Danio rerio: one gene and its partners. The protein of the gene in region 1 purifies or fractionates together with the protein of each later gene. This does not show direct contact. Links are inferred from orthologs where the notes say so. Each region holds a gene or a part of one and is shown on either strand. Other genes may lie near its edges. The genes, in order: lrch3, myo6b and sugt1.

The links.
Region 2: the proteins of lrch3 (region 1) and myo6b purify together in Homo sapiens (co-immunoprecipitation; 3 studies listed by BioGRID and IntAct, with this or other methods). This does not show direct contact. The link is inferred for Danio rerio from reciprocal best matches to the Homo sapiens genes LRCH3 and MYO6.
Region 3: the proteins of lrch3 (region 1) and sugt1 purify together in Homo sapiens (co-immunoprecipitation; 3 studies listed by BioGRID and IntAct, counting the BioPlex papers as one, with this or other methods). This does not show direct contact. The link is inferred for Danio rerio from reciprocal best matches to the Homo sapiens genes LRCH3 and SUGT1.

Annotation. Positions count from the first base shown.
Region 1 is NC_133193.1:3,767,995-3,771,654, reverse strand, and holds the end of lrch3 (DISP complex protein LRCH3), read left to right. Parts: intron 1-176; coding exon 177-374; 3' UTR 375-3,188; downstream 3,189-3,660. UniProt on the Homo sapiens protein: As part of the DISP complex, may regulate the association of septins with actin and thereby regulate the actin cytoskeleton.
Region 2 is NC_133192.1:38,666,475-38,670,134, reverse strand, and holds part of myo6b (myosin VIb), read left to right. Parts: intron 1-2,120; coding exon 2,121-2,176; intron 2,177-2,273; coding exon 2,274-2,371; intron 2,372-2,471; coding exon 2,472-2,636; intron 2,637-3,660. UniProt on the Homo sapiens protein: Myosins are actin-based motor molecules with ATPase activity. Unconventional myosins serve in intracellular movements. Myosin 6 is a reverse-direction motor protein that moves towards the minus-end of actin filaments.
Region 3 is NC_133176.1:29,637,513-29,641,662, reverse strand, and holds the start of sugt1 (protein SGT1 homolog), read right to left. Parts: upstream 2,842-4,150; 5' UTR 2,738-2,841; coding exon 2,724-2,737; intron 2,598-2,723; coding exon 2,549-2,597; intron 213-2,548; coding exon 122-212; intron 1-121. UniProt on the Homo sapiens protein: May play a role in ubiquitination and subsequent proteasomal degradation of target proteins.

The DNA of each region.
Region 1 (3,660 bases):
TCCTTCATGTTTGCTTCAAAACTAGGCTTTTTAACATCTCTTGCAGTTAACACAGCTAACTCTCTCTCTCTCTCCTCATTCCCCTTTAATTTAAACCACATCACACCCCATCAACACCCTCGTTGTGTTTTATTTGACCATCTTCTTCCTCCTGCTGCTCTTGGGTCTGTGTTCAGGATAGTTTGTGTTCAGCGGGCGATGTGTTAGAAGGGGAACTGGTTTGTGTGTTCAGGCTGGTCGAAGCCTTGCTCTCTCTGGCTCCGCCTCCCCTTCGCCACGCCCCTTCTTCCCAGCTGGCTGGATTTGCCCTTTTTTACTTGTCAATCATGTCGCTGCTATGTGCTATCTACTGCCACCTGGTGCCAAGCGTTTAAACCACACTTTAGACCGTTCCAGTTTGTAAGGTTAACAGGATAGCTGGTGTTTATGCACATTTTAGTGTCTCCAAGTGCACCCAATGGACCCTTTTCACATTTCCAGGTTTCTCAGAAGCGGACGTCGGCATTGTTGGGTAAACTTAGAGTGCAGTGAATGGGAGAGTACAACAAATATTGTTTTTAAATGCCTATTTGCTGAAATAATTTAAAAACAAATCCACAATCGTGTTATCAAGGCTTACAGAAAAAGGAAAAACAAATAGTGTAAGACTGATAACGTTAGCCAGAAGAGAGAATAAAGTCAAATTTACAGTCCTGCCCCCATAGAGACTGCATTAGAAACACCAAGCATAAGCATTACTTAATTATTTAATATTCAACACATCATAACAGTCTTGTGAAAAGGGTCTATTGATACTTTGATTAGCCCCGTTTTTTTGGAAGAAGTGTTGCTCTGGAAGAAGAGCTTGATAAATTAACATTTGTACACGTTGTGTGCTCAGAGTGGGAATGATTGATTTGATTACAGGGACTTTTGCAAAATGTGTGAGTAATTTCTATTTAAAGATATTGAACTACAGTCAGTTAGATGATGTTATTCATACGATCAATATTTATTTGATCAAAAACACAGAAAGAGCTGTAAAATTGGGATATATTATACTACATTTTATTAGTTTTCCGTTTACAGTGCTCAACATGTATGAGTACATCCCTCACAAATCTCTCTTTTAGATTAATCATTTCTATGAGAAGCTTTACAGTGTTATATCTGTGGATATGTACATTAGATTAGTCAGTACTGAGGTCAATTCTGGAGCTAATCTAACAAAATAACGTATGATAATAGTCCAAAATGAGTACACTGAAATGTATATGTTAGGGACAAATATTAAATAAAAAGTAGTTTAAATTTTGTAGTTTGTAATTTTTTTCCTTAATATTTTGCATGAATTTAATTGTATTATATTTCTATTTCTAAATTTCTTAATTATTTTATTAAATATATCTGTTTAGTAGTAGATCTGTTTTGTTCAAATGCACCAAAATATGACTTAACTTCAATGAGAAATGGATAAAAATGTTCATTTTCTAAATGGGGTGTACTCGTTTATGTTAAGCACTGTTTTAAATTCTAATTTATTCCTGTGGCTCAAAGCAGAATTTTCAGCATTATTACTCCAGTCTTATGATCACATGATCCTTCTGAAATCTTTCTTATATGCCAATTGTCTGCTTTAAGAAGCATTTAATCAATGTTAAAAACACTTCTCCTTGGATAGTATCTTAACACAATATTAAGAGTTAAAAGCATCTGTGTTGAGAAACCTATTTGAATAAGCTTGTTATTTAAATTATCCAAGTCCAAAATATACCTGTATGGCTTTTTGTTTTCATATATCATACATTTAAGTAATATGACATGCAATAGAACCATTTTTTCCCTAACTTTCAGCATCACAAATCATTTATATGTTATGTTTTTTATGGGTACGCTGTAAAAAGTAGTTCAGTTCATATTCATATTAATAATATTCATTTTACAAGTCATTTAATCTTACGTTGCATTAAAAATTACATTACTTACATTTTCTTTAAACCATAAGTTAAATCTAGTAGAAAAGTTGAAAAATAATGAGCAATAAGTGGAATAATAAAACGTTTTCATGGCTAATATTCGATTAACTTGATGTCTGAGCTCAGTTTAATGCAATGAAAGTTAAAAATGAAATTTGATTCAGCATAAAATTGATGACAATTACACTTTATTTATGAAATTGTCAATTAAATACAACCCAAGTTGACTAAAAAATGGACAACAAGAATAACACGAAGACAAAAATAGTTTAAAAGCTTTTATGTAATCAAAAGCCAGTAAAATTATAATTAAAATACAAAATCATATGTCCAAGGGTCAGTGTATCTTTTGGTCATTGGATTTTCATTTTAGAAACAGATATTGAAGAACGAAAAAAACGAGTCGTTTTTTAAATTTTTATTTTAAAATAAAAAAACGAAAATTGAAATTCAATGTGTTTTTAATTTTTGTTTTTAAAATTTAAAGCAAAAAAAAAAACAAAATAAACTCGTTTTTCTTTTTCATGGTAAAAAACAGAAAAGCAGAACTCTAAAATAATTTATTTTTCATTTTTTATTTCAAATAACAAAAAATAAAATCAACAGAAAAAAAAATGAATAAAGGCTTGTTTTTATATATTCTGAAACCAGATAGGCCAACTCATATAGGGTGATGCAATGCTCATTTGCTAGCCTACTATAGGCTATTGTTGTTTTTCCACTTAATAATGTTATAAAAGGTGTTTTCTTGTTATAACAGGATTTTAATGTAATAGCAGTAGGGCAGGTTATTATTAAAATAATTTCAATTTATGTATTAAAAATCTGCTATATTTGCACATGGCTATATGAAATTATAGATAGACCCACTGTAGCGGGGTGATAACGCACGCACAACTCATCTGCAAGCTTAGTAATAATCAGTTTTTAAAAGACACAGGATGGTTATAATGATGTTTGTTCAGCATGCCTCCTTTCAGATAAAATTAGCTGTCAACTTTTATTTTAAAATATTATTACGTATTGAAATGTGCATAACGAACAACTGCCTCCCTCACCTGAAATGATTGGTGGTCAAACTTCGGGATGTAGAAGCAATATGGTTTTAACAATATTAAAACTTTATTTTCAGAAAAGTGTTCAGTAAAGCAACGTAATGCTTGCATGTAATGTCAAAATAAAGATTGTTTCATTTACAACATGCTAACAAAAAATAAATATATAGCCTATAATTGGCCCTCATACAAAAATATGTTGTCTTAATGAGGATAATATGTCTTAACAAAATCCAGTTATAACAAGAAAATACCTTTTATAACATTATTAGGTGGGAAAAAATAATAGCCTAGAGCAGGTCAGCATTGCATCACCGTAAATGAGTTGGCCTATCTAGTTTTGGAATATATAAAAACAAGCCTTTATTTGTTTTTGTTTTCTGGTGATTTTATTTTTTGTTATTCGAAAAAAAAAATGAAAACCAAATAATTTTTTTAATTAATTTTTTCAGTTTTTACCATGAAAAAAAAAAAAAAAAAGAAAATTCAAAATTCAAAAGCTAAAATCAAAAAACTTATTAAATTTCAATTTTCATCTTTAATTTTAAAACAAAAATCGACTCGTTTTTTTCTTTTTTCAATATCTGTTTCTAAAATGAAAATCCAATGACCAAAAGATGCACTGACCCCCAAGGCACTCAAAGAAAGTA
Region 2 (3,660 bases), on another chromosome or scaffold:
AGCACAGAGTGCAGTCACTGCACTCCAACAAAATGGTATGGTTTATGATCTAATTAATACACATTAAACCTCTTAAACATTATTAAATGTACATGCTGAATCACTGATATTGGTGGGCTTCCATTGAATCGCAGATCTTAAGTTCAATTTCAAACGGTTTATTTTATTTTCAAGATTTGAGGTGAAATATCTGCTGCTGCTTTCAGTAGTAGGGCAATACATGTCATGTACAATTGCATTTAAACTCTTATTATTAGCATTTAACACTGATCACCTTGGGCACACCTAATATGCTTTATTCATTGTCAGTTTTCTGTTGTTCAGCTCCAAGAAATAGAAGCTATTGCTAAAATACATGTTTCATGTGTTGGTTGGAACAAAAACTCCTTTTAAAATGTAAAATATTCCTTCTATCACGTGTCATTGCTTTTATTTAGAACACCACTTAAACCAGCCTTTGTTGGTGTCGTCAATCTGGCAACCTGCTCTTGCATGTGTTTTGAACCAGGAGTGCAATACCTAGTTGAACCACTGGGTGTCAAACTTACATACTGCTCCTTTAAAAATATAAATCAGTATTTACATTTTGTTGCTAACAATAGCAACGGTTGGGTTTAAATCATGTTGACGCACATTAATAATAGGGCTGGGCAAAGATTAATTGCGATTAATCGCATGGACAAAAAAAAGTTTGTATTGACATAATATATTTGTATGTATTATATATATATATTTATCGTGTATATGATACACACATACATAAACTATTCAAACATTTTTTTTAGTTTAATAGATATTTAAATTTATATACAATTTGTCTCATACACAAAATTATTTCATAACTTAATATAAATAAACGGGTTCTCAAGGTTATGCATGCATGTGTGTTTATATACTTAATAAATATACACAGTACACACACGAATCATGCCAAAATAAACTTGTATTGTATATTTTTAAGAAATCAATACTTTTTAAGCATAATGATGCATTTAATTGATCCAAAGTGACCATGCAGACAGTTATTATCTTACAGTTAATCTCTATCGTAAATTATTGTTTTGAACATTTTTATTAAAAATAGAGAACATTGAAAATCAGATTTTGTGAGCAATAAATTAACATTTTGTAGGGATTTCATGTGATTATGTGACATTGAAGAGCTTTACCATCACATGAATAAAATACATTTTTAAACACAGTAGAAAACATTTGTATTTATTTATTTTAATGCCATACAGTCAGAATTATTACCCCCTCCTTTGAACTTTTTTTTCACAGTATGTCTGATAATGTTTTTTCTTCTGGCGAAAGTCTTATTTGTTTTATTTTGGCAAGAATAAAAGCAGTTTTACATTTTTTTATATCCATTTTAAGGTCAAATTATTAGCTCCTTTAAGCTAGTCTACAGAACAAACCGGCATTAAACAATGACTTGCCCAAACCTGCCTAATTAACCTAACTGACCCCAAGTAGCCAATTTTTTTCTTATAGAGCTAGTCTATAATCTTCTATTTGAAGCTGCTTTAACACAGTCTACATTGTTAAAGTGCTATAGAAATAAAGATGAATTGAATTGAATTGAATCGAATAGTTCTTAAAAATCAGAGTCTCTCCTTCTGAACAACAGATATTATGTCGGAAATCCAGTTCTTCACCAATAAAGGTGATTTCCAATTGTTAAGCACTAGTCTTTTAGCCACCACCATGCTTTGCATCAATGACTCTTGCATTGCCTGAAGTAGAGCAGATGTAATTTGTGAGACGCCAAAGATGGCACGGCATCTGGTGGAAAAGGTCTGCTGTAAGCTTTGGAGCACCAGTCAGTAGAAAACATTTTAAACAATGTTACATTAAACGATAAAAAATAGAATTACAATGTTGTTTAAAATTAAAAGTATTACTATATTTACTGTATATTGATCAAATAAATACTTTATTACTTAAAATACCTTGGTTAATTGAAATACGGTTTGTATAAAATATGATCAAAAACATTTTATAGTCCTCAATAATGTTACTGTTTTGCAAATTAGTTTGGGGGTTGTTTTGGGCCAGTTTGATTATTAATGTAATCATGTTTTAATACTGTAAGTGTTTTTTTTTTATTATTATTTCAGGTATTTAACCACATCTTACGGCACAGGCCAAGATATAGATGAGAGGATTGTTGAAGGTAAGTGTCTAGCACAGTACTGCATGTTCTTTTTTTGCATCTGATGCAAAATGTTTGTTTTTACAGTACATACTGTATATTTCTCTGCTGTGTTCAGCCAACCCCTTGCTTGAAGCTTTTGGAAATGCAAAGACGGTCAGGAACAACAACAGCAGCCGCTTTGGAAAGTTTGTGGAAATTCATTTTAATGAGAAGGTGAATTTAGTTTTATAGTCTAAAGACAAGAGTGTGAGTGTACAAGATTTCACGTAGGTATTATTAACTATGTGTGTTGTGTCTTGTGAACCGTGTCCAGAATGCAGTTGTGGGCGGTTTTGTCTCTCACTATCTGCTGGAGAAGTCTCGGATTTGCATGCAGAGTCAAGAAGAGCGAAACTATCATATATTTTATAGACTGTGCGCAGGGGCGTCAGAGGACATCAGGAACATGCTCCATCTCAACTCCCCCGACAGCTTCCGGGTCAGTTTCCTGTACATTGTGTGTCAGGAAAACCTGGAAATCATTTAACAAGACTAGAAGACATTTTTTGTCATGTAATTGGTGCAATGAAAGCTATCTAACAGCCATGACTTAAGCAAACAGCCTTTCTTAGTGCGCTTGATTGCAGGAATATTTGCATTTTTAAGCATGCACAACAAAAACATTTAGTGTCTTAAAATATACACATGCTAAATTCGAAATAAATAAGCTTTTAGTTAGTGCTGGGCAAAAATTTGTCGTAACAAAAAAAAAGTTTGCTTTGACATAATTTAAGTAGGTGTACTGTCTAAATTTATTATGCATGTATTAATACACATACATGTATTTGAGAAAATTTTTATTTATGCTAGATTTAAAACATGTGTATTATACAAGTTATTTATGCGTTTAAATATCTATATAACAAGATCGTTTTGTATAATTTTGTTTCTATACAGTGCATGCGGAAAGTATTCATAGTGCTTCACTTTTTCCACAGTTTTTATGTTACAGCCTTATTCCAAAGTAGATTAAATTCATTTATTTCCTCAAAATTCTACACAAAATACCCCATGAAGACAATGTGAAAAAGATTTTTTGAAATTGTTTAAAATTTATTACAAATAAAAACCTGAAAAATCACACGTGTTCACAGCCTTTGCTCAATACTTTGTTGATGAGCCTTTGGCAGCAATTACAGCCTCAAGTCTTTTTGAATATGATGGCACAAGCTTGGCACACCTGTCTTTGGGAATTTTTGCCCATTCCTCTTTGCAGTACCTCTCAAGCTCTATCAAGTTGGATGGAAAGCGACGATGTACAGCCATTTTCAGAACTCTCCAGAGATGTTCAATATGATTAAGGTCTGGGCTCTGGCTGGGCCACTCAAGGACATTCACAGAGTTGTTGAGAAGCCAATCCACTGATATTTTGGCGGTGTGCTTTGGTTCATTGTCCTGCTGGAAGATGTACTGTCGCCCCAGTCTGAGGTCAAGAGCACTCTAAAGCAGATTTTCATTCAGGA
Region 3 (4,150 bases), on another chromosome or scaffold:
AAATTCTTCAAAGAATGACAATATGAAATATTAATAATAAATAATATACCTAGTTAAGAAATAAATAATGAATACATGTAAATATTAATATATATATATATAAAAGAAAAGAAGTCCTTACTGGTGTACTCTTTCAACAGAATATAGGCATAAGCTCGCTGGCAGAGCCATTCAGCATTATCTGCTTTCTCTCCCAATGCTTCATTTAGTTCCTACAATAGGAGAAAGACACATTATTCCTCATGAGAGAGTATTAAGACAAACTACAAGGTAGACGTTATGTTTATTTCTCAAAAGTCTGAATAATAGCATTGCCACAATAGCGGTGTGGTGAATGATGAATCGCAGATATGCAAAGTTGTAAAGGGACACTTATCTCTCACCTTAAAACACATCTAAACAGACATTGCAAGTCAAATCTACTAAATCTATTCCATATTTGCTTGACTAAATTCTGATAGGTTTAGTTTGAAGGGCACCTATTGTGTCTTGGCTGTCCCTAAAATGCCAAGATCATTTATTATACCCTGAAAATTTTTTTAAATGAATTAATTTTCAATAAAAAAATTCATATTTATTAGATTAGGCATCCCCTCATTGAAGTCCAGGACATACCTATCCAAACAGTGGTGGAAAGATTAGTGGAAATCACATTCAAATTTAAAAGTTGCCATTACCTGCCAAAACACTGAGTGCAATTAGAACTAGTAGTCAAATAATTATGAACAAAAATGAAGTATGAGTGAAAAGTATCCCCGCTAGAAATATCCTCCAACCTGGCTGGGGATTTTTACAGCGGTTAGCATTAAGCATTTTGGTGCATTACCACCAACTTCAGCTCCAGAGTGTAAATCAGAGAATATGCTTACAGACTAAAGTAATGGATATAAATAAAGTACGAACAGCTTAAACACATCACGTCTGAATGTGTGCTTCAATATGCGTGACAGTGCATGCATGACACTACGCAACAGGCAGCAGTGAGGAATATTTGCATTTTAAAGCGCCTTATAGGACCTTTAAATACAACCAGAGATGCTGATTTGCTAAGAGTAATCAACGAAACACTGTTACTCCTGTAAACTAAAATGTAAACGACATCAAACGTAAATAAAAGTACACAAATATTATTACTTTTGGTTTTTAAGTAATGCATTACTTTACTCATTACTTGTGATGCACTACGCCCCATACTGGTAATCTGGCAAACTGCTCACAATGTCATAAGTAATTTTAAACGTTTTTCTTTTAAGCTATTTTTAACAGCTGCTACACAAGGAAATATTCTGCTAGACATCAGTAACATTGCGTGTTTAGAGAGAGAGCAAACATCAGACTCAAAGCTGTCAGCAAATGTTATACCAGAATAAGACAAAACAAATAAAAAAATGAATATTTGTAAAACAATAATAAAAAAGTAAAACTATACAAATATATTTTTTTCATTTAATTAATTATATTTAGAATTTTGTGAAATGAAAAAGAGCTAACATTTTAGACATTGGAAAAAATGATGTTTTGTTAGTGTTGATAATGTAGTTTGTGGGAAACTGATGTTGACTTATTATTAGTATTATTTTTATTTATTTATTATAAATATAGTTTGTGAAAAGAAAAACAGAATCTGCAAAAAAAAAAAAAGAAACGGTATCGGCCAAAAAATTGCAATTGGTTCATCTCTAAATCATAGAGTTCTGTGAGTCCGCAAGAGTTTTCTGACCACTGGAGTTGAGGATTTACAACAATCTGTGCAGAGAAGGGTTGTTGCCAGTCACAGCCTACAAAAGCACTGTCAAAATTAGTATTCGTATTTACTTTGTAAAACTTTAGACTTTGATATGAAATTGCATTCCACAGATGTACTGCAACACTACATACCCAATACCGAAAGAAGAAATCCCATTTACCATTTTAAGGCTATTACTATTACATAAAGTACAACAGCATGGATACCAACCCTACCTACGACATCAGATGTGCAAAAAAGATAGCCCAGACATTAAGGGTGGTTAAATGAAAAAGTGGTTAAATGCTCAGTGTTAAGTGTTCAGTGTAAAACGTTCAGTGGTTAAATGATGACATGAATGATCCTTTAAAGATTTTTGAGCACTAAACTTCAACATCTGTAGATTGTGTATTTGCGCATATAAAAATAAGTCCATATTTTTTAGGGCAGTTTATAGCTGTTTTTTTTTCTTTATATTTAATCCAAAACTATGTTTCTTGATTTGATTTGATTTAATTTCCCATGCTGTCCATACTTTTGAATGTTATGTGTCACAATTATATTGTGTTGTTAAAGGAGGGGAAAAAACATAGTTTATTAATAAACTATGTATAATTAAACTAGTAAAGTACAATTACATTGAAAAGCTACTCATTTTTTTGTAATTTTGAGTATTTGTATTATTCAGCAGTAACGTTACATCAGCTCTTAGTAAATTATTACTAAGAGTCATATAAAGTAAGCATAACTGAAGTTCAATAAAAACACGAAACGTTAACGTTAGGCAAACAGAATTATATACATTTAAATAAAAAAGCATACCTCAAGGGCCCTCCTAGGATCCTCATCTATGAAACTGTCAGAGTAACGCCTACAAAAAATAATCACATATAATAACGTATGGCACATAAATTTTATACACACACACCTACATAGATACATGCAAGCATACATAGGCCTACATATATACATACATACAACTGACAAAATTTCGTACCCGCAAGTTGCCATGGGTCCACTCTTCGTACTTCGTACTTCGTCTGAAACCGCAGAAAGTTCGAGAGGGAACAGCGGCGTTAAAGGAAGTAAATAATTGGGCCTGTCAATCCCACACTACTTCCTTGCTCTTCTTCTTCTGATTTTATAGTGGTTGGCAACCAGATTTTTGGAGCATTACCGCCACCATTTGGATTGGAGTGTGGATTAGGAGTTAACAAAAAATAAATAAATAAATTAAATAAATAGGTCATTCCTGGCATTCGGTAATATTTCAGTCCCCCATATTTTTTCAAGTGATTGTTGGCCAAAATGACATTTTAAAAGCAATTTTCATTGATTTATTTTGTACATTATAATGAATAAAAAAATAAATTAATTAATTAAATATATATATATATATATATATATATATATATATATATATATATATATATATATATATATATATATATATATATATATACTGTAAGAAATGAGTCTGCCTCGACCCAACTTCCACTCTAAATGGTGAATTGATGCTCATTTCCCAAAAGGGCTGACTTATGAGAGAAAAGAGAAGTCAACAAGGTCTTGTCTCTGCATTGTTTGAGGTGACTACATCTCAACCAAATGGTAACAATTGTAGAATGGGGATGGGTGTGGTGCACAAAGAACCATCTCATCAATGGTGTTGAAACTGCATTAACATGGAGAGATAGGGAGAACAGCTGGGTCAACAGCCAAGGAGCAACTTCATTAACATCTAAAGGCAACATCAAAAACAGTATAAAGGTTTGAGTTTAAGAATGTTCAGGGTTCATTCTGACTCCGGTGAACCCAAGGTACTGCCATGTATTTTGAGACTGCTATGCTGAATAAACATCTTCATTGAGATTTTCTTCGTCATCATCATTTTTTCTTACAATATATATATATATATATATATATATATATATATATATATATATATATATATATTAAAAGCATTTTTATCTAAAAAATACATATTTCTGTAATCATGTCCCCGAGGCACTTCCTTGAAATTGCATGTAGAAAAAAGTTAATAAAATGCACAAAGTGTCTATATATATATATATATATTGTATTACAACTATTTATTTGTGTTCTTTTCTGGTGATAGATATTTTTTTATTAAAGATTTTTTTCTATTACAAAAAAGCCTACAAAGTTATGTCCCTCAAAATAAGTCACGCTAGCAATTCTTCACCTATAGCATTTTAGACTCCACTCTTAAATGACATCACAGACAGAAAGTGACATCATTCAGCTCTCTTTAACAGCAAATGCAGAAGAAAGCAAGATATATGTTCATTTATTTACATTTTTTGATATTTATTATAGTTAGAAAGGGTAGAAGCTTAACAATTAAACCCCGTAAAACTAAGATGGAATATGATTAATTAATTAATTTATTATTTTTTTTTC